2 linked regions of the Astyanax mexicanus genome follow. The protein of the gene in region 2 interacts with the protein of the main gene of each other region in a biochemical or structural test. Links are inferred from orthologs where the notes say so. Each region holds a gene or a part of one and is shown on either strand. Other genes may lie near its edges.

The links.
Region 1: the proteins of myog (region 2) and csrp3 form a complex in vitro, tested with the Homo sapiens proteins (2 studies listed by BioGRID and IntAct, with this or other methods). The link is inferred for Astyanax mexicanus from reciprocal best matches to the Homo sapiens genes MYOG and CSRP3.

Annotation. Positions count from the first base shown.
Region 1 is NC_064423.1:339,935-352,785, forward strand, and holds the start of csrp3 (cysteine and glycine-rich protein 3), read left to right. Parts: upstream 1-7,694; 5' UTR 7,695-7,800; intron 7,801-8,064; 5' UTR 8,065-8,171; intron 8,172-10,008; 5' UTR 10,009-10,028; coding exon 10,029-10,140; intron 10,141-12,851. Other genes in the region: transcription factor E2F8, read right to left, coding at 354-509, 631-927, 3,069-3,225, 3,870-4,121, 4,970-5,053. UniProt on the Homo sapiens protein: Positive regulator of myogenesis. Acts as a cofactor for myogenic bHLH transcription factors such as MYOD1, and probably MYOG and MYF6.
Region 2 is NC_064431.1:20,021,205-20,033,942, reverse strand, and holds the start of myog (myogenin), read right to left. Parts: upstream 5,832-12,738; 5' UTR 5,724-5,831; intron 4,986-5,723; exon of another isoform or gene 3,060-4,985; intron 1-3,059. Other genes in the region: zinc finger protein 205-like, read left to right, coding at 6,327-6,331, 8,307-8,464, 9,300-9,673. UniProt on the Homo sapiens protein: Acts as a transcriptional activator that promotes transcription of muscle-specific target genes and plays a role in muscle differentiation, cell cycle exit and muscle atrophy.

The sequences.
Region 1 (12,851 bases), on a different chromosome or scaffold from region 2:
TCAAATATCTATATTTATTTTTTAAAAAACAGGAGCTCCAAACCTCCAAAAGACTCCTAATCCTCAAATTAGTCTAAAGCAGAACCTGTTTGTTACTCCACATGGTGGTGCTATGATTAAAAGAGCAGGGTAAACCTGCAGTGAAGAATATTGTTTGTAAAATTCTGTCAAACTGACATCAATAAATCCATAATTCCTGATATTTAATTATTTAGGAGTATTTTATCCTCTTCAGTAACACACATGCTGTGAAGTAGAGAATTGTGTTGTGATATATTGAGTATCCTGATTCCCACCCCTAGTGCTCAGTGGATGATCAGATATTTATTAGGACACTTGAAAGCCATACTCACTTTTAAACTTGCTTTTGTCCTGGTCCACCACCTGGTCTTCTCCAATCAGGATTTTTGCTGCAATCTCCAGACTGACCACCCGAGGACTGGACACCAGGAACAACATCACAAACTTCTGACTCATCACCCGCAGTGATTTATCCTTCCGGCTGCCGGCTGCAGGAGGGAGAGGACTGTCAGCATATCCAACTCAATGACCCTCACCCACTATCATCATCTTCATCATCATCATCATGAGCTCCAGCAGTGCAGATATTCACATGCTTCACACACTGACCTGTTTTGGCGTCCCCTGCGGTTTCAGAGATGAAGCTCAGCTCCTTCTGTCCCTCTGCCTCCTCCTCGTTCTCCTTCTCCTCTCCGTCCAGCTCAAACTCCTGATCCAGGTTCTTCTGTTTGAGCTGCAGCATCTGCTGACCGTACCGGTTCTCCTCGCCAGCCCGCCACAGGGCCGCCAGCGTCTGCGCCAGCTTTGCCCGCCCGTGCCACGTGTATCTGTTCTTGGCCAGCCGGCTGACCATGTGCAGACTCTCCAGAACATTCATGATGTCGTAGATACGACGGCGCTCCACACCTAGGTGACAATAACGCATTTATTACAATTAAACTTTCTACAGTTTTGTAGTTTGAAATAATTTTTATTATGTTCATATGTTTATTTTGCCGTGTAGATTGAGCCAATTACAGCACATGCTCTCCATTCCCCAGCCTGTTATTGGATAAACTTATTATTAACAGTTAACCCCAGTATCATAACCACTTATTGACACAACATTTATATACTGTCACAGTTGGTTTAAATATCATAGTTTTACAGTGATGAAAGCTCAATAAACTGAAAACAGAAACAATAAATTGTGGACCTTATGCACACTTTAGCCATTCTTTTCTTTTGAAAACTAAATTAGTCTTTAAGACTGCACTTTTACAAACAGTTCAATCGTCAGATAGGTAGATAGGTTTGGTAGAGCATTTTGCCTAAATTGGAAGCCATATGTACTAATAAAACGACCATATTTACTAGGGGTGGGAATCTTTTACTATCTCACGATTCGATTCGATTCCGATTTTGGGGGCCACGATTCGATTCAAAATCGATTTTTGATTCAAAACGATTTGATTTATAAAAATTTATTGAAAACTTATTGAAAAAAAAGCCTCCAAAATATACACTGGTCCTGGAGAAGGTAATGTGTTACAAAAACAATAAAATGTGCAGGAATGTGGGTCCTCAGTGACAGAGGAATCACTGGGATATCACAATGACGTTAATGAACAATAAATAAATAATAAATAACACTGCTTTATTACCAGGCTACTAGCGGTGGTGTGTAGGTGACGCTGCTGGGCTGATGTGATGATAGCAGTGGAGCGCTAAAGTTCAGGAGCAGCTGCTGATTAACTAGTTAATTTTAGGCCGTTGTATTTCTTCAGAAAGGGGGCAGGAGGTGGAGAAATTAATTCATATTGTCCATTCCTTAATTCCTCTGTGATGAGGAGCTGAAATTAGCTCTGATTAGCTTATTGTTATTTTTCCGTTCCGCCTTAAATGCTGCAGCCCGCTGCCACCTGTAGCGTTATTTAAGGTGGAACTGGAAAGTTAGCTAGTTAGCTAGCTAACAGAAACTGAAACTAACTACTAGCGATCTTTTTTATGCTTGTTATGAAGCATTCTGCCATAAAACATTAAAACTACACGTTAATCTAAGGTAATATAGTGCTTGTTCTGCCATCTTACCGGTGATTCTCATACACCTACGCTCTGTGTGGGTCTGACGGTAAGTTCAAACTGCAGCGGCCACGGTCGCTTTGGGCAGTGGGAGGCGGAGCGAAAAACGCTTCGTGCCGCTGCAGTGTGAACTTACCGTGAGGGGTAGGGCCAAGGGAAGAAATGGGATTGGACCTTAGAATCGATTTTGGGACATTTTAAATCGATTCTGAATCGTAGTAAATGAGAATCAAGATTCTTATGTGAATCGATTTTTTGGCACACCTCTAATATTTACAGACTATAAAGTGCAATGTAGTCACACTATCAATGAACGTCTATTTTCAAGCAGAAGGCTTAAAAAAATTAAGTAACAATAGTAAGGAACAAGAGTTCCGCCATGTTTCCCTTCCAACGTAAACAAAACTTTAATTCTTAGAGAAAAAAAAACAACAAAAAAAATGCGCTGGATGTTGGGTGAGTAAAGCGCTTCCGTTTATTTACAATATTTTCAACAGCAGGGTTAGCAGCAGCGCTTAGCGCTAGTAAATGCCGCCTGACAGCGCTACACTGAGGAACACCGAGTGTTCCGGTAACCCAGGGCACTCTTAGCTAGCGGTTTGTTCCATGGAGCTTGTTTTAACACAGTAAACACGCAGACTACAGTCCGATACTACCCTATGAACAGTGAAAGAGCTAGCGCGGCTGTTAGCCGCTAATGCTAATACTGCTCCAGCCTTAGTGCTGGAGAATAACTTCACTGAAACTCCTGTATAACTCTGTACTTCAGCATAGTGGCTTTACTTACTCCTTCCCTGAACCCAACTGGTAGAATTTATACACAAGGCGCACTGTTTAGGGTTTTAGGATTTCAAGGATATTAAGTACGCCTAATGCGAATAATATGGTAATTAAATTGTTACAACCCTTTAATTTATCCATGTTTCTGTGTTACACCCACGCAATAATATCACGAGCTGTGTCTGTTCTTTATGCTGGATAGTTACTTAGTTCAGTAGCGACGTCGTCCAGGCAGATGTCGTTGTTGATGGCTGGATTCGGGTAGTCTGGGTATCGAGCCAGAAACTTGTGGCAAAGCAAACCGAGACTCTTCTCCTTCCGGCTGAGATGCAGCTTCTCTGATTCCTCACCCAGCTCGGGCTCCTGTGTGGACAAAATACACACCTTTAACATCCACACCCAAAATAAAACGCAGTGTCAGGGAGACATTATCATATCCTCTCTTTACCTGTTACACAGGCTGGATTCTAGAGTTAAGCTAAAGTCTAAACCAGGGGTTCAGAGTTTACTGAACTTTTACTTTACTAAACTTATATATGAATATATTTGACTAACAATGAGACAATAAATACCAGAGTAATAAATAAAGTTATTTAGCTTTTGTAAAACGTGACCTAAAACAAGGTCACAAATGATTTAAAGAGTTGAAATAGAGCTACTATACATTACTCATCTTATGCGTTACTTCTCTTATGATCTTTAATGTGCCACACGGCGCTGAAGATGCAAAACTGTGGCAGAATTGTAATTGTGTAGGAAATATAGTCATATAAAAATAAAGTTTAGTTTAGTAAAAGTGAACTTCAGCAAAGATTTTAATATAAAATATAGGCTGGGGAGTTTCGATGGGATCATGAAGTGTTTAGAATCCTAAAAAAGGGGTCTCACAGTAAAGAAAGATTAACAACCTCTAATCTAAACAAAGACATCCTGCCCTGTGAAATACCCTCCAGGACTAAGTTTAATAAACAAGGCTTTAGAAGACAGGTTAGAAATGGTTGAAGTACCTGAGAAGAGCATTCTGTTTCGTCTGCCTTTATGTTGTCTGCACTTCTTTCCTTCTCACGGTTACGTATCTCGGGGCTAGCCGCACTGATCAGCATCTTTAGATTAGAAGTAGGGGTCCAGGGCTCCCCTGTAGGAGCGTCCGGGCCTTTAGTGGGCGTTGTTAGGGGACCCATTATTTTCAGATTTTCCAGAGGGGCAGATTTCCCCGAGGTTTTCCCGGGTGTCTGCGGTTCCACAAACACACCCGTTTTCTGTAAATAATGAAGCCAGAGTTCGGTTGTTAGTGCACAATAACAATAACGGAATTTTTAATGCAGACTGGCTGGTTTATACAATAAAAAGTAAGGGCAGGGCTGCATACTGTAGGCTAAAATGAAGATAACAATCAGATAACTAAACATTTAGCTCAATATTAAATAACTGCCTGAACTATTATCAAATAGAAATATATCTTTAATCAGGGGTTGATATTTCACAGTTATCCCATTATATAAAATAAACAGTCAGAACAATTCTGTTACTATAAATTAAAACTTGGTATGTTTAATGTTTCAAGTAAGTATGAAGGAGACTTTATTGCCATGTACATCACATGCGGAACATGGGGTGGAACAAAATTGCTTTCTCAAGGTCCGGTTTTCCCACAACAGAGCAGTTATTATGAAGAATATAATAAAATATAATAAAGAAAAGCAAATATGAAGTAAAGAATAAATTAGAAAAATAGTTTTTAAAAAGTGTGTACCATTATTACTTTTTTCCCATTTAATATAGTAAAGAACAAATGAGTTTTGACTAAATTGTATTTTTTTTTTCTTTTCTGGAATAATTTTCAGGAACAGTTAAATCATTTATTTTCTTTAGATTTTCTATTTTTTCCTCTTTTGCAGAATATTAACCTGATAATTATTACACTGACCCACGAATGATGGAGATGTTACATAAAAGTACACAATATTTATCTAAAGAGTGTGGATTTACAAAAGTGATGATTTTTGACTAAGGGAATGTTCTTTCCTTCCACAAACTCTGAATATAATTCTCTTCACACACAGTCACTATACACAGCCATTAGCAGCTCATCAGCTCATTTACTGACCTTCTCATTAGCTGCTGCTGATTTGTTGGGGCTCGTTTGGGGGAGCTGGGTTAAGTGCTGGCCGTTTAGTAAGGTGCTGGACATTTTCCACCTACGTGTGTTGAGAAAGAAGAATTGATCGTTAGGAAAAATACTAGTATTAATCACTTATAACTAACATATCAGTGCCATTATTAGCAAATCTGAGATTTTAAATAGAACAGGGAAGATAACTGTATGAGTTATCTAGGTTACAAACAAGAAATACCTTTTTTTTACAGCGTTATATAACCTGGGAGAAAGCATCGTGCACCCCTATGAGAACTGAATTAGTTCAGGTTTATTAAAATCTTATATAAAACTGTTTGTATTTTTCGTAAATCAAAGTTATTTTGATTTCAAATGACCGGGAGCCGACTGGCGCTAACTGACACCCGATCCGACGAATCACGCAGCAGCACTACGCGGATGCACACGCCCTTCCACTACAATCAGCCAATTGCTGACAGGGCACGGACACGTGAGCCCGCCCCCCGCGAAGAAGCCAGCCAATAGGTGCGCGACAAAGGGCGGGTTTTCGGACAGTCGCGCGCAGGCTCTCACCTTTTTAAAATCTTGGCGCGGAATTTCGCAATCGGAACGGAAGAAGATATTAGCGGCTAAAAACAGCATAAAACAACTAAACTAAAGCATATATTGGCGCAGATTAGATTGTACTGCTAATAAACTCGATATTTAACAAGAAATAAGCGCTTAAACTGTATTAATTTGTACAAAAACTAGTGGTTTGGAGCCTCGCAGAGCGCAGGACACCAGAAACACAGCAGCTCAAAACCAGGATAATAAATACCTGCAGATAAGTTCCGTACAGATCTAAAGTTACTTAACTAACTGCTGAGCTAGTCAACTAAAACTCTACTAAATATAACATAGCTTACGTAACTTACACTGCGGTATGTTTATTATTAACCAGGTATAAATATCGAAACGAACTGCTAGCGTTAACCTAGCTGAGTTTTTATTAAACACAGAGAGGCGGTAACTTTTATAATGTTAAAATAGCTTTAAAACGCTGGATCCTACAGCAACAGCCAGCAAGTTCACTGATAAACTAGTTATTACTGAGTAGTGAAGCTAGCTAACGCTATCTAGGTTAGCTAGTAAGTAGTTAACGTAGTTGTTTAACGTTACTCCGCAAATGTAATCTAACCCAGCTAGTTAGCTAGCTTTACGTAGTTAGGTTAAATAAAACTTTGTGTTCATTCTGTGTTACACAGATAGCTTAAATAGCCTTACTAGCTAACTAATTATAAGTTACTCCCTTCTGTAAAAGCATTCATAGGCTAGCTATGGGTGACTATAAAGCTCTTTAGTATGTTTTATATATAAACTAGCTCGCTAGCTTATTAGGTTAACATACCTGAGTCAGCAGTAGACTGTACAGGAGAAACGGTCCGACCAGAATGCAGGAAAGAAGGCAAATTAATCCATAAGAACGGCAGATAGATTCCACCTCTTGTAGATTTAGCTCAAATAATTTAGTGCAAGAATATCTCCGCAGATTCCACACAGGTAACTCAACCTACAGTATGTTAGATCAGTCCTCCAGCTGTGCTTCTCTGTACAGCGCTACAGTAAAGCTGGCTGTAAATAAATACGGATTTCTCCAGTTTTAGTGATTTTCCAGCGCGCTGAGGGTCCTGGTTCGGTTTTCCCGGGTATATGAAGGTCCTGGTTCGATTTTCCCGGGTATATGAAGGTCCTGGTTCGGTTTTCCCGGGTGTCTGTGTATATGTGCGCGCTCCTTTGCCCGCGTCCCGCTCTGAATTTGCCGGGCAGATCTGACCCGCCCATAACTCCGCCCACACCCCGCCCCCACACACGTACACGTACACCCAGAGGATAAAAGTACATATTTACTAAGTACATAAAGTTCTGAACAGGGTCGAGTGTTGTGTCCAGTTATGTCACATATCGATATGTGCTTCTTTTAATGCTTCCTCATGTTTTTAATGAATGTTAGTTATTATGCATACATTGTAAGTTAATTACATTTCTTTTTTGTGATATCAGTTACTTTGCACAATAATTTAACATTTCTTTGATAAAACAGGTTTATATTTACTCTACTATTATTTATTTTTTTATTGACCAAAATTATTGATTTGAAAATTAGCTGGAAAAAGACATTTCTACTAAATGAACAGCATTAAAGTTCAACACAGACAACACTGAGTTAGCAGCTCAGAACCTAATGCTGGTTTTAACAGCAGACAACTAGTAATACATACACATAATATATCATCTACACGTTTACATAAGGTAGCTTAGGGAATGGCTACACACAGCGTCAGAAACTGTGGTACACGCCCAGTTTGTATAAACATGGTGGCAGAACAGAAGTTGAATCAACTGAAGCTGCCACTGGCAACAGAATACATTCAGTTATTATAAAATAATTCAACTCATGTGAGTTATTGTGAATACATATGTGGCTGCGAATGTTTACCAAACTCAAAGTAGTTGAGCAATGTTTGTAAATATAAGTATGATATGACATAACACAGACTTACTTCATTTGAGCTCAAACAAACTGTGGGTTTATAGTGTAATAGTTAACTATATATCCTTTTAGGGTGTCGTCATTTTTTCTGTTTTCATAAAGTACAGTGCATCTTTAATCCAGTGTGTGGGAGCAGGAGCATTTTTCCCCCAATGCATCAAAATGAGCCACCTCGTTACACAAATTAAAATGCTACCAATGTGGATTTTTTTGTGTTTAGATAGAATGAAAGTAGCTGGAAGAACTCCTAACACTGTGAGGACTGGAGAGAGATCAATGTGCACTTGCAGTAAGTATAAAAGGGATATAAATATTGAGCTCTACCAGGATTTGTAATAAATAATTCCAGAACATATTAGAATGATATACAAATTGGGCGGGGCCTGATGGTATCTGTCACCATTGTAAATATTGAGATTTTTAATGTAATCTAAAGTAAAAATTGCTGTATGAGTAAAGGCTTCAGTACAGATGAGAGATATAACTGAGTATATTTTAGGAAGATGGCCTAATCTGTGTGTGTGTGTGTGTGTGTGTGTGTGTGTGCGTTCAGTGCTCTGAAAGATGAACATATATAAGAGAGGTCCCTGAGAGCCAGAGGCAGACAGAGAGCCAGGCCGAGCCTCTAGGGTGATTCTGGACCTCCTGTTCCGCTGGTCTGTAAGTACTGTAGTCACTGTTTGTGTAAATTTGACTGATTACTTTGATGTTTTAACAGTAAAGTTTATAAAATATAACATTAGTTGCTTAATTTCTCTCTTAGTTAGATTGTATTTGCCTATTTAGTACCATTGTATTTGGTACCTCTTTACACATGTATTCCTATTACTGTTTGTAGTCACTTTTTGATTGATTGACTGGAATTTTAAACAGATAAGAGTTATGTTTTAAATGTGAATAGCTTTAATTGCATTTACACTTAACTGTAATTAACCCTTTCAGACTCTGCATCCATTACAATCCATTACCCTCCATTTATGTTTTGTTGCACATAACACTATTTGAGAGCTGTTGTGCAACAGAATAGACCATGAACCAATAAAACAGTAAACCAATAAACCAATGAAATAGTAGCCTGGTAGTACTAGAGCCATTAAAGCAAAGTAGCTGCTAATTTAAATGGTTACTAATAATCATGTTTTATTTTTTACTGTTTAGGGATGGTTTATGAAACAAAATAGTTAATATGAAATACCAAATATTACACAATAGGATTTATTTGCTGTATAGATTTTATAGTAGAATATTAAATACTTATTTTCTGTGCACTACAGACAAAAACAGCATTCATACATTTTTACATCACTGGAGATAATTCAGGTCTGAAACCGTTCATATATTAAATAATACCAATAATATTATTGAATGTAATAATATGGATAGTTTAACTCTTAAGAGGTAAATTGTTCAATAGGTGATGATGACTGAAGCTCTAATCACCATCACACTCACTCAAACTCAGATATACTGAAACAGAGGCCAGATCTGTGAGTGTGTGTGTGTGTGTGTGTGTTTTTATCAGCAGTAGCTTCATTGAAGGAACTATTTCTGGATGATTATCAGCACATTCCACAGTGTTGAGGCAGAGAGCAGAAACTCTGACTCACAGTAACAACATAATATATATTTATATTTACAAGACAGCTAATGTCTTGTATTATATCAATCCATGAGTTAACAGTGGATTTCTGAGCTTTATTGATCCTGTCAGTACTGCATTCTAGGCAGGATATTTAATAAAAAATATTAGGTGAGCCATCAGTAATCTTTAGTAGAGTAGAAAAATGATAGATCATCATTTAACAGCAGTAAACAGGGATACGAATCGAGTGTGATTGCATTGATGATGGTAGAGTCTGACCACTGCACAAAGCAGCGCTTCTCCATCCAGCACATCCCAAAGATTCTCAATGAGGTTAAGATCTGGACTCTGTGGTGAACTCTCTCTCAATCCATGTGTGATAAATGATGATCTCCTGCTCCCTGAACCCTGAACTCTTTCACAATTCCAGCTGTATAAATCCTGATATTATCATCTTGGAATATGCTCGTGTTCATCAGGGAAGATAAAATCCATTGATGGAATAACCTGGTCTATATTCAGTATATTCAGGTAGAGTCAGCTGACCTCATTCTTTCAGCACATACTGTTACTGAACTCCAAATGGAGACTTTTTTTGGCCAGGCTCTGTTTTCATTTTACTGTTCTTGTGATGTTACCAAAAGGTTGTTGTAAATCAATTAGGATTAATTATCATAAATTAGGATTAATTCTCATTAAATGATAACGTTGTAGGTGTAGCTTATAGTTTATCATTATTTAAAACTGATTTAAAGTGATAAGATGAATAAATAAATACACTTCATTCATAATGTCTTACACCACATTTCACAAAGAAGTTCATGTAAATAAATCCTGCAGAGGATTATTTTTTTATGTTAATGCATACAGTGCTGTTATCTGAGGATGCTTTTATTTCTGTTCTGATTCCTGTAGATCTAGTCCCTGATCCGAGGATGCCGAACTGGGGCGGGGGTGCTAAGTGTGCAGCCTGTGAGAAAACCGTGTACCACGCTGAGGAAATCCAGTGTAATGGGCGGAGCTTCCACAAACCCTGCTTCATCTGCAGTGAGACACGAGTTCACCTTTTTATACAAGCTGTGATCCTACAAAATCCTGCATAGTCAGAGCTAGGAGTGGGAATCACAGGATATCTCAAGATACGATATTATCACAATACATTTCCCATCATAACGATGATATCACTATACTGTGTTTCTGTGATACTCAAATATTACACTTAAATATTACAGTACAATTCTCTACAATATTCCGTCTTACTGAATAAAATACTCCTACTGGATAAAATACTCCTAAATAATTAAATTCCAGGAATTATGGATTTATTGGTGTCAGTTTTTACAGAACTTGATAACGAATATGACACAATGCACAACAAAGTGCAGAGCTTAGCTTGCTCACATCTCTTTAACACACACACACACACAAACACACTCACACTGACCGCAACTGTTCCATGTCTAGGTATTGTTATTATTATTATTATTATTATTATTATTATTATTATTATTATTTAAACAAAAATACATTACTGCAAAAAAAACTCTTTATTTAAAACCAAAAATTATTAATACAAACTCTCACAGGATAAAGGAGAAAGAAGAGGAAGTCGGGCTGATGTGGAGAAGTTTATCTGCTTACAGTTAACACTAATTTAAATTCACTGCCTAGCAAAATAAAAAGCTCATCACCTGAATTTAACTAAGCAAATAGTCAAGAGTCTCCTATTGAATAATTACCGGTACTGCATGAGTGATTATGTTTCAGCTGGCAACAAGTTATTTAACCCCAAACTGATGCCGTGAGTAGCTTCTCATTTGGTAAACAACCATGTAAAAAGACTCATCCTGTTGTCATGGAAAAGATGGTATCTTGTTTTAGAAGGACCAAATTATTGAAGTCAAGCAGAGAAAACATTTAAGGAGATTGCTGCAACTAAAATATGGTTAAGAATTGTACAATATTTTATTACAAAGTGGAAGGAGAGTTGGGAAGAGATGTGGTGGAAAAAATTCTTGAATGATTGTTATTGGCGATCACTTAAACGTTTGATGAAATATATGTTATGATGATATGTCTGATATGTTTAATAGTGAAAGTAAGAGCAGGGCACGAGTTATGGGCAATTTGTAGGGGGGTCTAACCCTCTGATTAACAAGTAACCCCCCCTTGCAGCCTCAATCTTTTGTATGTACAGAACTTCATGTTGAACAGATATTAATATTGCCTATATGGACAGCAATTTAAAATCTGAGTTGGTAGATTTAATGCGGTTGAAAATTTGGGTGCAGCTACCCTTTGTGCTGGTGGGCCTAAGAAAAAAAGTTACGACCAGCTGCAACCAGTGCAAAAAAATATTCTAGACTCCACACTAGCACCTGCACTACTCATGTCACGTAGCTGCTATCTGTTGCTTCAGGTCACATAAATTCACTCACCTTAAATGCTGCTAAGGCGACACACACACAAAGAGTTTCAGGCTGAAGGTTTTTTTTAGAGATGTTTGAACCTAACATCTGATAAACAATAAGTAAGATTTCAGGTGTAGTTTCATTTGGACTGTTTGTAATTTCTGCACAAAAAAAGCAGAAATGTATAAAACTTTTAATGCACTTTACTACTTACACCTCACAGCTTTTTAAGGTGGAATTGGAATTGTTAACATGAAACAAAAAACTTGCCGTGAATCAGTACACACTGATTTATAACCTTAAACATAACATTTTTTTTGTTTGTTTGTTTGTTTGTAAAATTAAATTTTCAGGGCATGAAAACTACTGACAGACTTAGATTTTTGTCTGGCATTGGTCTTTAATGTAACATGTACAGGTATTGATTGTGTATGGTAGCAACCAATAGCATTGCTTGTGTTTTTGTGGGATTGATTAGCTGTTGAATTTGCTGTATAATATATTGTTTATGACAATAAACTTCAGCTTCAGTTTGCTAGAGATCATAAGGATTAGAGAGCATAAGAAATGGAAGAAGGATCTTGTGAAGGTCTGATGAGTCCAGACTGACCCTGTTTCAGAGTGATGGAGCATTAGGGTAAAAAGAGAGGCGGCTAAAGTGATGCACCCATCACGCCTAGTGCTCACCATACAATATTGGAATATGTGTGATATTTGTGTTTGGCCAGGCCGTATACTGGTATATTGATCATTTATTTGTAAGTAAAGGTTTCAGCTGCTGTCTGTGTAAATGTTGCGGTGGGGACTGACAGCCAAGAGGGTAAATGGGACTGTTGGGAACATCATACAACACTAAATCCCCTGCAGTTATGTTTGCTGTTCTTTGCTGTGGAGCATTTGGCACTGTGGGATTCAGTCGCTCAGCTGCCCTTAATCCCATCCAGCCCAAAATTAGCCACAGAAGCTAGCATAAAGTTCCCTGGCTAAGAGCAGGACAGCTGCAGGACACAGTGAGGTCATGTTTAAACTCCAGCATCTTCTGTCTGATACCAGCAGAGAGAGTCACTGTCCAGGTTAAATTAATTCCGGGTCAAATTAAACGTTCAGTTAAAGCACAAGTTCCAAAGGAATAAAAGGTAACGTACTCAATCAGAGAAGACACAACTAATAGGTGCAGCTTTACTCTGTGCACTGTGCTCCTCAGCTAACAGAGCAAGCTGTTGTTCCCAGTCTCTTCCGCTGTGTTATTATATCACAGTTGGCTGTGGAATATTTAGTAGTGAACAAATATTTCAGGACTGGACTTGTTGTTGAACAGGTGCTGCCTCCTATCACTGTACCACAGTT
Region 2 (12,738 bases):
TTTTATATTGTATGGTGCAGTTTTCTAGTAACTACAATTTAAGACTTACAAAGCACATATTTACATTTGGAAGGTCAGCAGAATACATATTGGACTATTGATTAGATGTCTGTTATTTATAAAAGTGTGTGTGTGTTTGGACTACTGAAAGTGTTTAAGTGCTTCTAAGTGAACAGAAACAATAACAATTATTTTATTATTATTTTTAAAAGATAATTGTCTTTTCTGTCATTGTAGTAAAACGGCAATACATTTATTTTTATTTCTTTTCTCACCACAGCTTCCATTGTCTGGTCGAGCGAGATATGCCCGTCACAGGAGATTCGGCAGTTTCGATGCAGTGGGTCAGGATAATAATTTCAGCCAATGGAGAGAGAGGTAAGTTTTGCACTTTTACTAAATTTAACCCTTTAACTGTCCACTCGTTTTTCTAGTTCATGTTTACATTCGCACAGTTTTTTGTAAAGAAGGATCTGTTTGATTGAACTGGTATATTTGATGTAATTACAGGATATTTTACAGAGATTAAACAGGACATCAAAATGATATGATGTGTTTTTTGATCATAAAGCTGTTATCTTTTCCAGTATGGCCAGTATTACTGTGCCACTTGGTGCCACTTTAGCTTGAACATGATATTGTAACTTTGTGAGCAAAATTCTCGCAATAAACATTTTTGTAATACCTGATTAGTAAGTGTTAAATTACTGGGATTACAATAATGTCAGCTGTGTAAATGTCATCTATCTGCAGAGCTGGAGCTAGCTGTTTCAGACCAGCAGCTCTAAAACATGCTGTAGTGTTAAAAAAAAGCTAAGCTAACGCTATCTAAAAGTTAAATTTTTTTTCTCACTTAAAGTAATTTACTCTACTAGACTAGTAAACAATATGTGTGAGTAAATTTCTGATATTTCACTTGGATTTAACAAACAAGCAAGAGTTTTCCATTCCACCTTAAATGCAGCCGGTCTTGACCAGCAGTTTTAAAATACAGCGTAGTTTTACAGAAGCTAAGCTAACGTCAGCGCTAAGTTTTATTGTTCTCTCATTCAATGTTACTTGAGCCTGCTCGACTAGTTAATCGAGGTGTTAATAAATGTGAATTTACCTTTCCACCTTAAATGAGGCAGGTCTAAACCAGTAGTTTCAAGACATGCTGTAGTTTTAGAGAAGCTAAGCTAATTTTAGCGGCAAGTTTTATGTTTTCTCCCACTCAGTGTTACCAGAGCCTTCTAGACTAGTTTTAACAAGTTAGCATTTTCTATTCCACCTTAAATACTGCCGGTCTGGCACAGCATTTTTAAAACATGGTGTAGTTTTACAGAAGTTAGTTAGTTAGTGCCAAGTTTTATGTGTTCTCTCACTCACTCTCAGAGCCTTCTAAAATGAGTCAGCATTTTCCTGAGTTTTCCATTCTACCTTAAATGTGGCCCTTCTAGACCAGCAGTTTTAAAACATGCTCCAGATTTACAGACACTAAGCTAACGTTAGCGACAAGTTTTGTTTCCTCTCAGTCAATATTACCAGAAACTTCTAGACTAGTTAAACGAGTTAGCATTTTCCTGAGATTTCCATTCCACGTTAAATAAGGCAGGTCTAAACCAGTAGTTGTAAGACATGCTGTAATTTTAAAGAGGCTAAGCTAACGTTAGCAGAAAGTTTTATGTTTTCTCTCAGTCTATGTTACCAGAGCATTCTAGACTAGTTAAATATGTAAGCCTTTTCCTTAGTTTTCCATTCCACCTTAAATGTGGCCTGTTTAGACCAGCAGTTTTAAAACATGCAGATTTACAGATGCCAAGCTAACATTAGCGACAAGTTTTGTTGTTTCTCTCACGTTATTTTATTAGAGCCTGCTTGACTAGCAATTTGAGGAGTCGGTAAATGCGAGTTTTCCTTTCCACCTTAAATGAGGCAGGTTTAGACATGCTGTAGTTTTAGAGTAGCTAACAAGTTGTATTGTTTCTCGGAACCAATGTTAATAGAGCTTGTTAGAGTAGTTAAACGAATTAGCATTTTCCTTTGTTTTCCTTTCCACCTTCAATGAGACATTTAAGGTACATTAAGGTACTGTCTTGGTTTAATTCTTTATGAAAACAATAATGTGTTTAATAATAGTTGTACAATTACAACTTTAGTTCTCAAAAAATCTCTTTCATGTCTGAACAAAACCTGTAATTGTAATGGAAATATTTCCAAACGAATCAATAATAAAACGATTCAAATTAAATCAGAAATTGAATCGAATTGGGGCCTTGTGAATCTGAATCGATTTTGTAAATCACTGATGATACCCAGCCCTACAATTTAGTTATAAATTACCACTGTATGTGGTACTAGAGGCTTCATGTAGAGAGTGGGGTCAGCAGATGCTGAGGGGCATATTACACGGAAGTAAAAAAAAAAAAAAAAAAAAAAGGTCAATCACCAAACACATTACAGGCAAGCGAATACTTTTGGCAGTATAGTATGTATGTAAATGTTGCTCCGCCTCTAGTCTGGATACAAGATTAAACACAGTTGGATCTTTTACCAAGAGGTATACTACCTAAAAGTAATTTCTGAGACTCGGACTGCACTTGTAATCATTTACATACCTGCTTGAAACATAACAAAACTGCTAGCCAACTTTTGCTGCAATACATGCATTATTTTTGCTCCTTTGCCTTAGTCAACAATAAATGTTCAACTCTGTCCCGGACTGTCTGTGCTGAGCATTTGGTAGAGTTAATAAACTTTGCTATAATTAGGAGAATCTGGTGACATGCTGATTCCTCTACAGGCAAAATTGGGATGAATTGGAAGGAAATGAGCACATAGACAATACCCAAATAGAGCACAGTCGATGCCCGGCGTCTGCCCGGTGCTCGGACGTTCGCCTGGACTGTACGTCACACTGGCCGACCATGAGTGGCAAGAAAGGAAGATGCAAATTTCCTGGATGCAAAGGCATACCCAGAGTTCTGTGCATGAAATGTAATGTACACCTTTGTTTCACCAGGCAGAGCAACTGCTTTGTGAAGTTTCATATGCCGCTTAACTGAATGTAGAACTGGATTTGGTAATCTTTTGAATGCAATCGCATCTTCTGTCTTTACTCTGTTTTTGCTGTTAGCAGTAGAGTCACAGTTTGTATTTAGTGTTGACTCTGTAATGTAAAACAGGGGTGGTTGTTGTGACTTGAAGATTTTGGCACTTTTGTATTTCTGTTGTGTATTGAATTTAAATTCAGATTATGTTAAATTTTGTGTAGAATGAATATTGTACTCAGTTTAGAGAGTTGTCTGCTTCGTCTCCTCACTTTGGATGCCAGGTAAAGGACACTAAACCTACACAATTGAGCACTAGCCAGCAGTAGTCAGGTCCGACCCTACCGGATCCTGTGCATGTTAAGTCCGAGCCCAGAGATTGTTAAATCTGACATTTTTAACTAAAATTCTGAGTTGTCTAAATGAGTGGAATCTGTATAGAATGATTTTAATGAACAGTGCAACACAGAAGAAGCATAGGTCTATTGATTAACAAAACTGTTACGCACAGCACTGCAGTGTTGTGTAAAGACCAGTTAATACAGTCTGCGAATTTGTTGAATTTGCAAATTTTGTTGAATTTGTTGAATTTGCGAATTTCACTGAAAGCAGCTGATGGATGCATGGATGGATGGTGACGTTACTAGTTCCTATTCTATGGAATGTCAGGATAAAGTGTCCTTCAGCGACTTTTACATTGCATTGTTGCATGTTGTGATTTTGTCTTTAATTCTGCATTTACTGATTAAATAAAGTATCAATAATATTTTCCCTGATTTCAGTAGCTTTGTGGAACATTGTTGCCCTGGGGGTTAGGGTAACACTCTTATTCTTTTTTTGTTGTTGTAGTAGTAATAGTCAGCTATATAAAATTAGTAAATATTATTTAAATGGTGAGTCACTCTCAGCACTGCAGTAAAACACCTCAGTTTTACTGCTGACTGAGAATAGTCCAAGAACAGCAAGCTTTGGGCATTGTCCTGTGGACAGTGTCCTGTGACTACTGATGAAGGTCCTAATCATTGAAGAACAGGGTGAAAGGAGGAGGATAAAGTATGCGGAGAAACAGATATATGTAGATAGACTACAGTCTGCAGTTATAAAACTACAAAGTGTCCTGTATGCTAAGTCGAGCTGAAAAAATACAGGGGTTGGACAATGAAACTGAAACACCTGGTTTTAGACCACAATAATTGATTGTCCCTACAGACAGTTCTGGTGGAAACAGGAGAGTTGAGGTGCACATTAAATTCTGCCGTGATTTGATCAGCCGTGGATTATTATTTTTTTGGATACAATCCGGGTTAGCACCCAAACATCCCTTTCAGACAGCTTCCTCTTACAGCGTCCACAGTTAATCCTGTTGGATGTGGTTGGTCCTTCTTGGTGGTATGCTGACATTACCCTGGATACCGTGGCTCTTGATACATCACAAAGACATGCTGTCTTGGTCACAGATGCGCCAGCAAGACGTGCACCAACAATTAGTCCTCTTTTGAACTCTGGTATGTCACCCATAATGATGTGTGTATTGCAATATTTTGAGCAGAACTGTGCTCTTACCCTGCTAATTGAACATTCACACTCTGCTCTTACTGGTGCAATGTGCAGTTAATGAAGATTGGCCACCAAGCTGCTCCAATTTAGCCATGAAACCTCCCACTCCCACACCTGACGGTTCTCAGGTGTTTCAGTTTTATTGTCCAACCCCTGTTGAGAGTGTAGATTATGGAAACTAGGAAGTGATCAAAGTGGGACCGCTTTGTACTTTCCAAGCAATGTACTAGCTGCAGCTCTGCATTTTGAATTAAACCCTACCTTAATATAAAGTTAAATGCGCTGTGGAGTGTAAACTTATTGCATACAGCACGGTTCTGATTGTGTCATCAAACATCATCGGTATCAGCTGAGGAGGCAGCTGTGAGGTCCGCCCCCTGCCGCGTACAGACAACACATGTAAGATACCACTCTTGTTTTGTTTTGTTAATTATTTAATGCTTTCTGTTAATGTGAATATAGTAAAGTATGGATAGTAGAGTAGTCACTCCAGCAAAAGCAATATACAGTATACTCTTTAATACCCTTGATTTCAGAAGAAACAATGAATAATAAGTAGCTGTCCCAATACTTTTGTCCATAAAATATGATCTTTACACATTTACTCGGGTGTCACGGGTTAGACAGGAAAAATAAAAACCTGGTCTGAGTAGTGGAAAAAAAACAGCAGCTTAGTGAAAAGAGCAGGAGTCACCAGATACAAGTCTAGAGAGCCTTTTTAAAGTCCAATTCACGGGTGCTGTGAGTGTCTATTAAAATCTTAGATTAAAATCCTAAAATATATAAATATAAATGACACAGAAATGCAGTAACTTGCATTTAAACCTTTTTTCTAGGAATCCAGAGCTCTAGGAACAAGTTATATAGAAGATCATAACTAATTCTAAGGAATTTAACCGTTTAATTAAAGCATTTGATGTGCTTAATGTTTTAAAACAGACCTGAAGAAGCATAAAATACATTTTACACACAAATTAGCTAATGTAGTTTTATCTCCAGCACTAAACCAGCACTCCTACATTCTGTAAATAAGCTCACATGAAGAATCACAGATGCTCTAAGGATGTTCAGTACATTTCACTTAGGAACTCCATGAGTTGAGATGGCGGACAGTGTGCTGTAGGCAACTTTACATACCTTTTAAAGAGTCTGTGACGCACGTCACCATGGGCAAATTTGGGCATTTCAGTCACTTCAGCCTGGTAATTTTCTGTCCCAGAGCAGAAAGCTATTTACCAACCAATGCTGAAAACAAAACACACATATAAAGGATAATTAAGAAATATACAGACAAAAAAAACACTTGTAGCTCAAATTTCCATTCCAGACACACACAAAGCACTTGTGCCTGATTATGCATGTGTGAAATGGGCTTTAGTTCACCACAGTTTCGCTATTTTCCTGCTCTAAGTCATTAATTCACCTAATTCAATTAATTAATTTATGAATTAATACATTTAGTGAAAATATATCGCCAAGCTGTGAGTACACAGGCTCGCCAGATCAGAATTGATCAGCCTGATTATTTTAACAATGTTTGCAGGTAGAAATGCTGTTTATAATAAGCAAAATAATTTATGTAATTTAATACATTATTGTCAACTATATATAATTAATTTATTTTCTGTTTGTTTTACAGTTAGTTTGAGGGGAAAATCTTTCAGGGCCTCCAGTTAATCAGCTCTGTCTTCTGGGACTGATTGCTTGGTTCAGAAGCCCACCCTTAAAAAGACGGCTGAAATGAGGTAATCATATGCAGTAATATATCACTTTTTAATTCAGTGTATCTTATGACTATATGGATTATGGTATCTGCAAAATAGAAACTGCGGTAGTTACTAGATAGACTATATTGCCAAACATATAACTCTGCCTATGGGTCACTCTCAAGAGCTCACTGAATTTCAGCATGGTGCTGTGATATTCCAATCGTAAAATTTCTTCACTATCAAATATTTCACAGTCACCTGTCAGTGATGTAAATTCCATGTAAATGACAGAGCAGGGTCAGTGGTTGCACAGGTCACCAACATTTTGCACTCTCTCTCAATCACTACAGACCTTTGAACTGGCCTTTAAATTAGCTCAAGAACAGTACAGCGTAGAGAGCTTTATTTAAAAAAATCCATGGCCAAGCTGCTGCATCCAAGCCTTACATCACCAAACAAGATGCAGTGCAAAGCATTGGACACTGATGTAAAGCATGCCGACACTGGTCTCTGAAGTGACAAATCACACTCCGTCTGACGAGTCTGGGTTTGGTGGTTGCCAGGGGAACAGTACTTGTCTAAATTGTCTGCATTGTGCTAAGTGTAAAGTTTGGTTGGGGGGGGGATTATGGTATAGCGTTATTTGTCAGTATTTAGGCTCGGCACCTTAGTTCAATAGAAAGGAACTCCTAATTGCTTCAAAAGACCAAGAGATAAGTGCAGACAGTTTGGTGTTGGCCCATTCCTGTTCCAGTCCTGCACTTAACCGGATAAAACACCTTTGGAATGAGTTAATGCGAAGACTGAGTGGCTGACCTTCTCGTCCAACATCAGTATCTGCTTCACAAAACCGCTTCTGAAAGAATGGTCTATAATTCTCATAAACACACTCCAAAACCTTGTGAAAAGCCTTTTCAGAAAAGTTTAAGCTGTTACAGCTGCAAAGGGTGGGCCAACATTATGTTAAACCCTAAAGATTATTAAAGTTTGTGTGTGTTCTAAGTGAATATTTTTGGCAATATAGTTTAGTTATCCTAGCAAAGATGATAATTAAACAAATATGGCATGGGTAGGTCTATAGTTTTGTAAACTTTAATTCTTTATTAATTTATGGAAATGCTAGGAAACAGCTCGTCATGTTATTTTACTCATTGTGTGACCATCTTTTTTGTTGTCCTACATAAATGTATTTAAATATTTATAACCTCATTGTCATATTTCATTTTATAAAAATGATTCCAGAAATGTCCTCCATGTTTGTCGGTTTTGCTACCAGAGTCTGCCCAGTAGAGACCAGAGGCGGAGCCAGACCCGCCTACTCATTTGGTAGGCCCGCCCCTTTGTCCCAGACCCAACTGTCATAAACAATGGAGATGAAAAGACAGTTTAGAGGAAAAAATGTGATGGAAAATGGGAGGGGCTGTTGCCACTGAAACATTTAGAGATGGGCGGAGCTACATATCATACGGCAACCAGTTTTTTGGGAAATATTGTGCTCTCCATGCTTATTGTATGTACATTTCTGTATGCTGACAGCAGCTATCTAGTTGCATATGTGGGTGATGTTACACATACCTGTCTATTTGTCTACCATGTTTTGTTTGCATTCAATTTTGTAGCGTAAAAATGCAATAAACTTGGTTTTGTTGAACCATATCTCATCATTAGTCCTCTGTTCAAAAATGTGCTACAACTTCAGCCATTCACTGTAAACTGGTTAAGATATTTTTTTACTGAATTATACATTTAAATCCCTGAGATTGGTAGTTTAAGGGTTGCCAAATATGCCTTTCTTCTTGGGATGCAGCAAAATATATATATTTTTTTAATTACATAAAAGGTGGTGCATTGTTTTACTGTGCAGCGACTCCTGGGCTAGTATAATATAAGTGTCAATACTAAGAGTGGCAGTTAAAGGGTTACAGTTTTACCGGAACTGCTCTCGTCAAATTTTAATAAATGTGTGTTAATGCAACAGATTTTAATGAGTTTTACCAAATGTTGATTTTAGATCGCATATGAAACGTGCTCGCGGAATAAACAAACTTCCGAGACTTGGACGAGAACGGAAACTGGAGATGAGGACTGATAATCCGAGAGCACTGAGAAAAAAGGACGCAAGTCCGGACGTGGTGGTGGTCCTGGACGAAGACGAAAGCCTGCCAACACGTAAGTAAAATAATGCTGTAATCATATCAGTATCAGCAGATACAGGCATGTTATGTTTAGGAAACCCTGGCTAAGTTGCATGTTTTGTTCATTTTTTTGTGTAAAAATATGTTACACAAAAAGGTTCTCGGAGTAAAGCCAAAGAAGATTTTTTGTAATAAAACTTTGTTATTGGCTCTTTTAAAACAAAATGTATACTACACACTTAAGCTAAAAGGTAAAAATGCTATGAAGTGTTGGTTTGGCAGGCCAATTACCCAACCTACTCACTAGTCCTATCACTAGTACAGCTTCCAACACTAGTAGGGTGAAGACTAGCACATGCTTCCTTTAATACATGTGAAATCAGCCACCGCCTCCTTTCCAACTGCCATTGATGTAGCAATATTGGGTACCCAGCATGCATGAGGAAAGCACAGCAACCCAGCTCCATTACATCAGCTAACAGACATCACCTTGGTGGAGATGAGGGGAGAGAACATTTTTGTGCTCTCTCAGACTCTGGCTGCTGATGGCAAGCAGCATGACCTGGGTTCAAACCACTATCAAACCAATCATAGCACCATATTGAAATTTGAATATTTCCAAATATATTAATATTTTTTGAACATGACTAATAAATACAAGTGACATCAGACAAATGCAAGTGACAAAGAGAGAAAAAAAATATGGGCATGTGTTTAAAAAATGTGACAAGTTTCTAACAATTGGATATATTCAGGAAGAATGCTTGTTTTTACATTTACATTTATGTTTTTCTTTTGGCTAAGTGTGAAAGAAAAAGTGTCCGTTTTATTGCCACTGTGCTGAAGTTGTTTTCCTTTCTGTGATGTAGAATTCCTGCCGGGCTCGGGGAACATGAGCAAGGAGATGAAGCAGTTCGACCCGGAATCGCTGGAAATGTACGGAAGTCAAGCGAAAGCCCTGGGCCTATCGGACGGTAATCTGTGCGTGGTGTGTGGGCGGACCTTCACTTCACGAGCTCTGCTGAAGATTCACCTGAGGGTTCACTCAGGAGAGAAACCGTATAACTGCCATTTCTGCGATAAGAACTTCCGACAATCCAGCCACCTCAGCGTTCATCTCCGGATTCATACCGGAGAAAAGCCCTACAGCTGCCCCACCTGCGGGAAGCGCTACAGCGACCGGAGCGCGTGTAACAGACACGTTAAAGCTCATCTGATGGAGCAGACTGAGCAGATTGAGTAGCGGGAGGCATGTTGGAGATGTTTAGTTTTTATCTTCCTCTATTGTAGAATTTTAGATATAGTTACACTACATTCTTAATATTAAATTCAAGAGATCTTAATGCTTTGCCTTAGGAGAGCCACTTTTTAAGGCCAATTTATGACTCTCCGTCAACCCTACGCTGCCCCCTAACATGTACCTCCCCAGAAACATCTTCGCATCACAGCAACACAGACTTCATCAACTGTGTTCGGTTTGCTGAGTATCGTATTTAAACTTCCATATCTCCACCTTTTTTTTGATGACCACTGTTTTGCCAGTGTAAGTGCAGAGCGATTTAGGTTTCCAAACCTAAAGGTCCAGACCAAAGTCTAAACCAAGGTTAATTTGCTCTTTTCGCAATTAGTTTTGGTTTCACACTGTGTCTAGTGGCTGAACCCAACAAAAAACACCTTGACATGTCTTGTTGTCATCCCCTACATGGGCAAAGAACCTGAGTCTCCCTATACATGACATTGATTGGTTTGTAGAAGGAAAATAAATGTCACACAGCAGCATTTTTTTTGTCAATTTGGCCAGTTGTCTTTGCAGATGTTCTGCCAAATTTTGCTTCTTTGCCACAATCCGACAGCTCAGATTTTTCTTTTTGGTCAAAACCCAAATAGAAGCTGTGAAAGGTTCTATAAACCATGTTCTGGAGATTCAAAGAGGCGAATCAATTGATTGATGGTCCAGTTTGTTGGCAGTGAGACAGTGAGGCTATTGTCACCCATTAAATAATAGAATAATTTGAGTACAACAGATGATGCTGGTGATTTCTGTATCTACTGTAACTAGATTATTAACCCTACTACAGGATGTGCCAGCACTCAAAGTGAGGCAGAACACAACACCTGGAAAAAAAAGAACCGAACTTACTACATTCTTCAAAACGATCAGTGTTTGGTAAGACCAAATTTGGGTGGTTCTTGGCACCTGCTCTTTCACACCTGCTCTGTTGGTTCGGCCCAAACAAGGTAGGTGTGAAAGTGGCCTTAAACCACTAAATACCCTTTGAAAGGTTTTTCTTTAGAACCGTGGTTTTCAGAGCAAAGTTGGGTCCATGATATGTAGCTAGAGGTTCTGCATTTTCTTTTTTTCTTTTCTTTTTTGGAACCCATATCAAGTTTGGTTGAATAAGAACCAAAAGAAACAACTTGTTCCAGGCAGTTTTTTATTACTGTATCCCAGGTTTCAGGATGTTTCACTTGCGTTACTAGATGGTTACTATTGTATCTCAGGTGGTTTCTAGGGTTTATCACTTAATGAAAAATCTATGTAATAAAAACGAGTTCCTGACTGTAAAAGGTATGAGAAGCTTTGCTTTAGAAAGTAGTTTTTGTAAATGGAATGCATGAAGAATTATTATTTATTATTAATTATTGAAGGTTAAGCGAAAAGGTAAAGGTTAAAAAAGTCCAGAGGCCCAAAGGTTTCAGAAAAACCCTTCAAAATGGTACATTTAATGTATTTTACGTTATGTTAATATGTTTTTAATCCTGGTTCTTCTGTGCCACCTATCAAAAGAACCCTTTGCGCCAGCTCTTAATTTATATATATTTTTTACTTTGTTTTAAAGAGTGTGCTTATAATTCTGTATCATCAATTGTATTCTGTTTTGTATTCTGTTACTGATTTCTTCTATTTCTTTCAATGACATGAAGTATTCTTGAGTTTGATGGGTACTTTGTTGGTAATTTGAATTTAAATGTAAAGCTAATTTAAGCAAAATAGCTGTAGGAACTTTTAGAACTTTGAACCTTTTAAACTTTGGAAAAAAAAAACTTGAATATGCAAACATGACTAGCTAGTGAGCTCTTAATGTAGCTTTTATTTATTTACGGTAACATTGACCAAACCTTAGGGCTGGACAGTAATTCAGTATCAATATAGATTGTTATATAATCTGTTTTAATATTAATTCATTTTACTGAATTTTATTACATTTTATTTTTTTTTTTTTTTAACTTTTCTGATATTTATACATACTGTTACATATTATTTATAGCATCATTCACTGACCGACCTTCATTATAGGGCATCCGTTATGGCCGGTATTTTTATTTTTTCCAGTTTACCTGTGGCTTTCATACTGTTCAAATTAATATCAGACTGAAATTATAAAAAATATATTGTGATATAAATGTTGGCCATATCGCCCAAACCCTGCATTAAATCTTTCGATTCTGTATTTTAGAGGTTTAACAAAACCCTAAAACTATTATAACTATTAAATAGATATAAACATTTTTTTACAAGATGCACCAATCAGCCATAACGTTAAAAGGTTTAAGGTTTGAGTGAAACTGATCTAATATGAAGGATTTAAATATTTCTTCATCTTCTAGCTGATCAGTGTGTAAATTGCGACTCATTGCAACATAAAGTTTGGGTTTCAAGTGGTTTACATCACACCTTATTAATTATTGAGAGTTTAATCTTCTGTTACAAAGAAAAAATCTGATTAGTGGCTGACTGAGGTGAATGCTATGAGTTTTCCCATTATCTGATTTAAAAAAAGTACATATAAATGCGATGATCAGACTGTTGTTCTGATCAACTTCGGATGTTCTTCAGTAATCGAATTATGATGTGCATGTAAGTGCATGGCTGAAAAGTGTAAAAAAAAATATTTGCGAAACTCTCAGTGCTTTTCAGTTCAAATTAGTTTTTGATAGTTATTTATTGTTTATATTTTTTGTTCTTTGCCACGTTTGTTCATTTTCCCCTCCGCAAGACATTTGTGTGACCAACGAACTGTGTAAGGGGTGCAGAAATGATTAAATATTATAACACTAATAAAGGTTAGTTACATAGGAAAACTATTTTATTTATTTATTTGTAGCATTGTGTGAAGCTTTTCTTAATATTTGATTGATTTTTGTCCTGTGCGTTTCATTCAGTTTGCTTTAAATTGAGTTGTTACTATATGTTATTGTACACTGTGACTTCTCTTTTTTTTAATAGAAAATAAAAGCGTGTTCCTCCAGTCTTAGAGTGTTCTGTTCTGTTTTTTTTTTTTGTTTTTTTTTTGTATCTGGATCAAA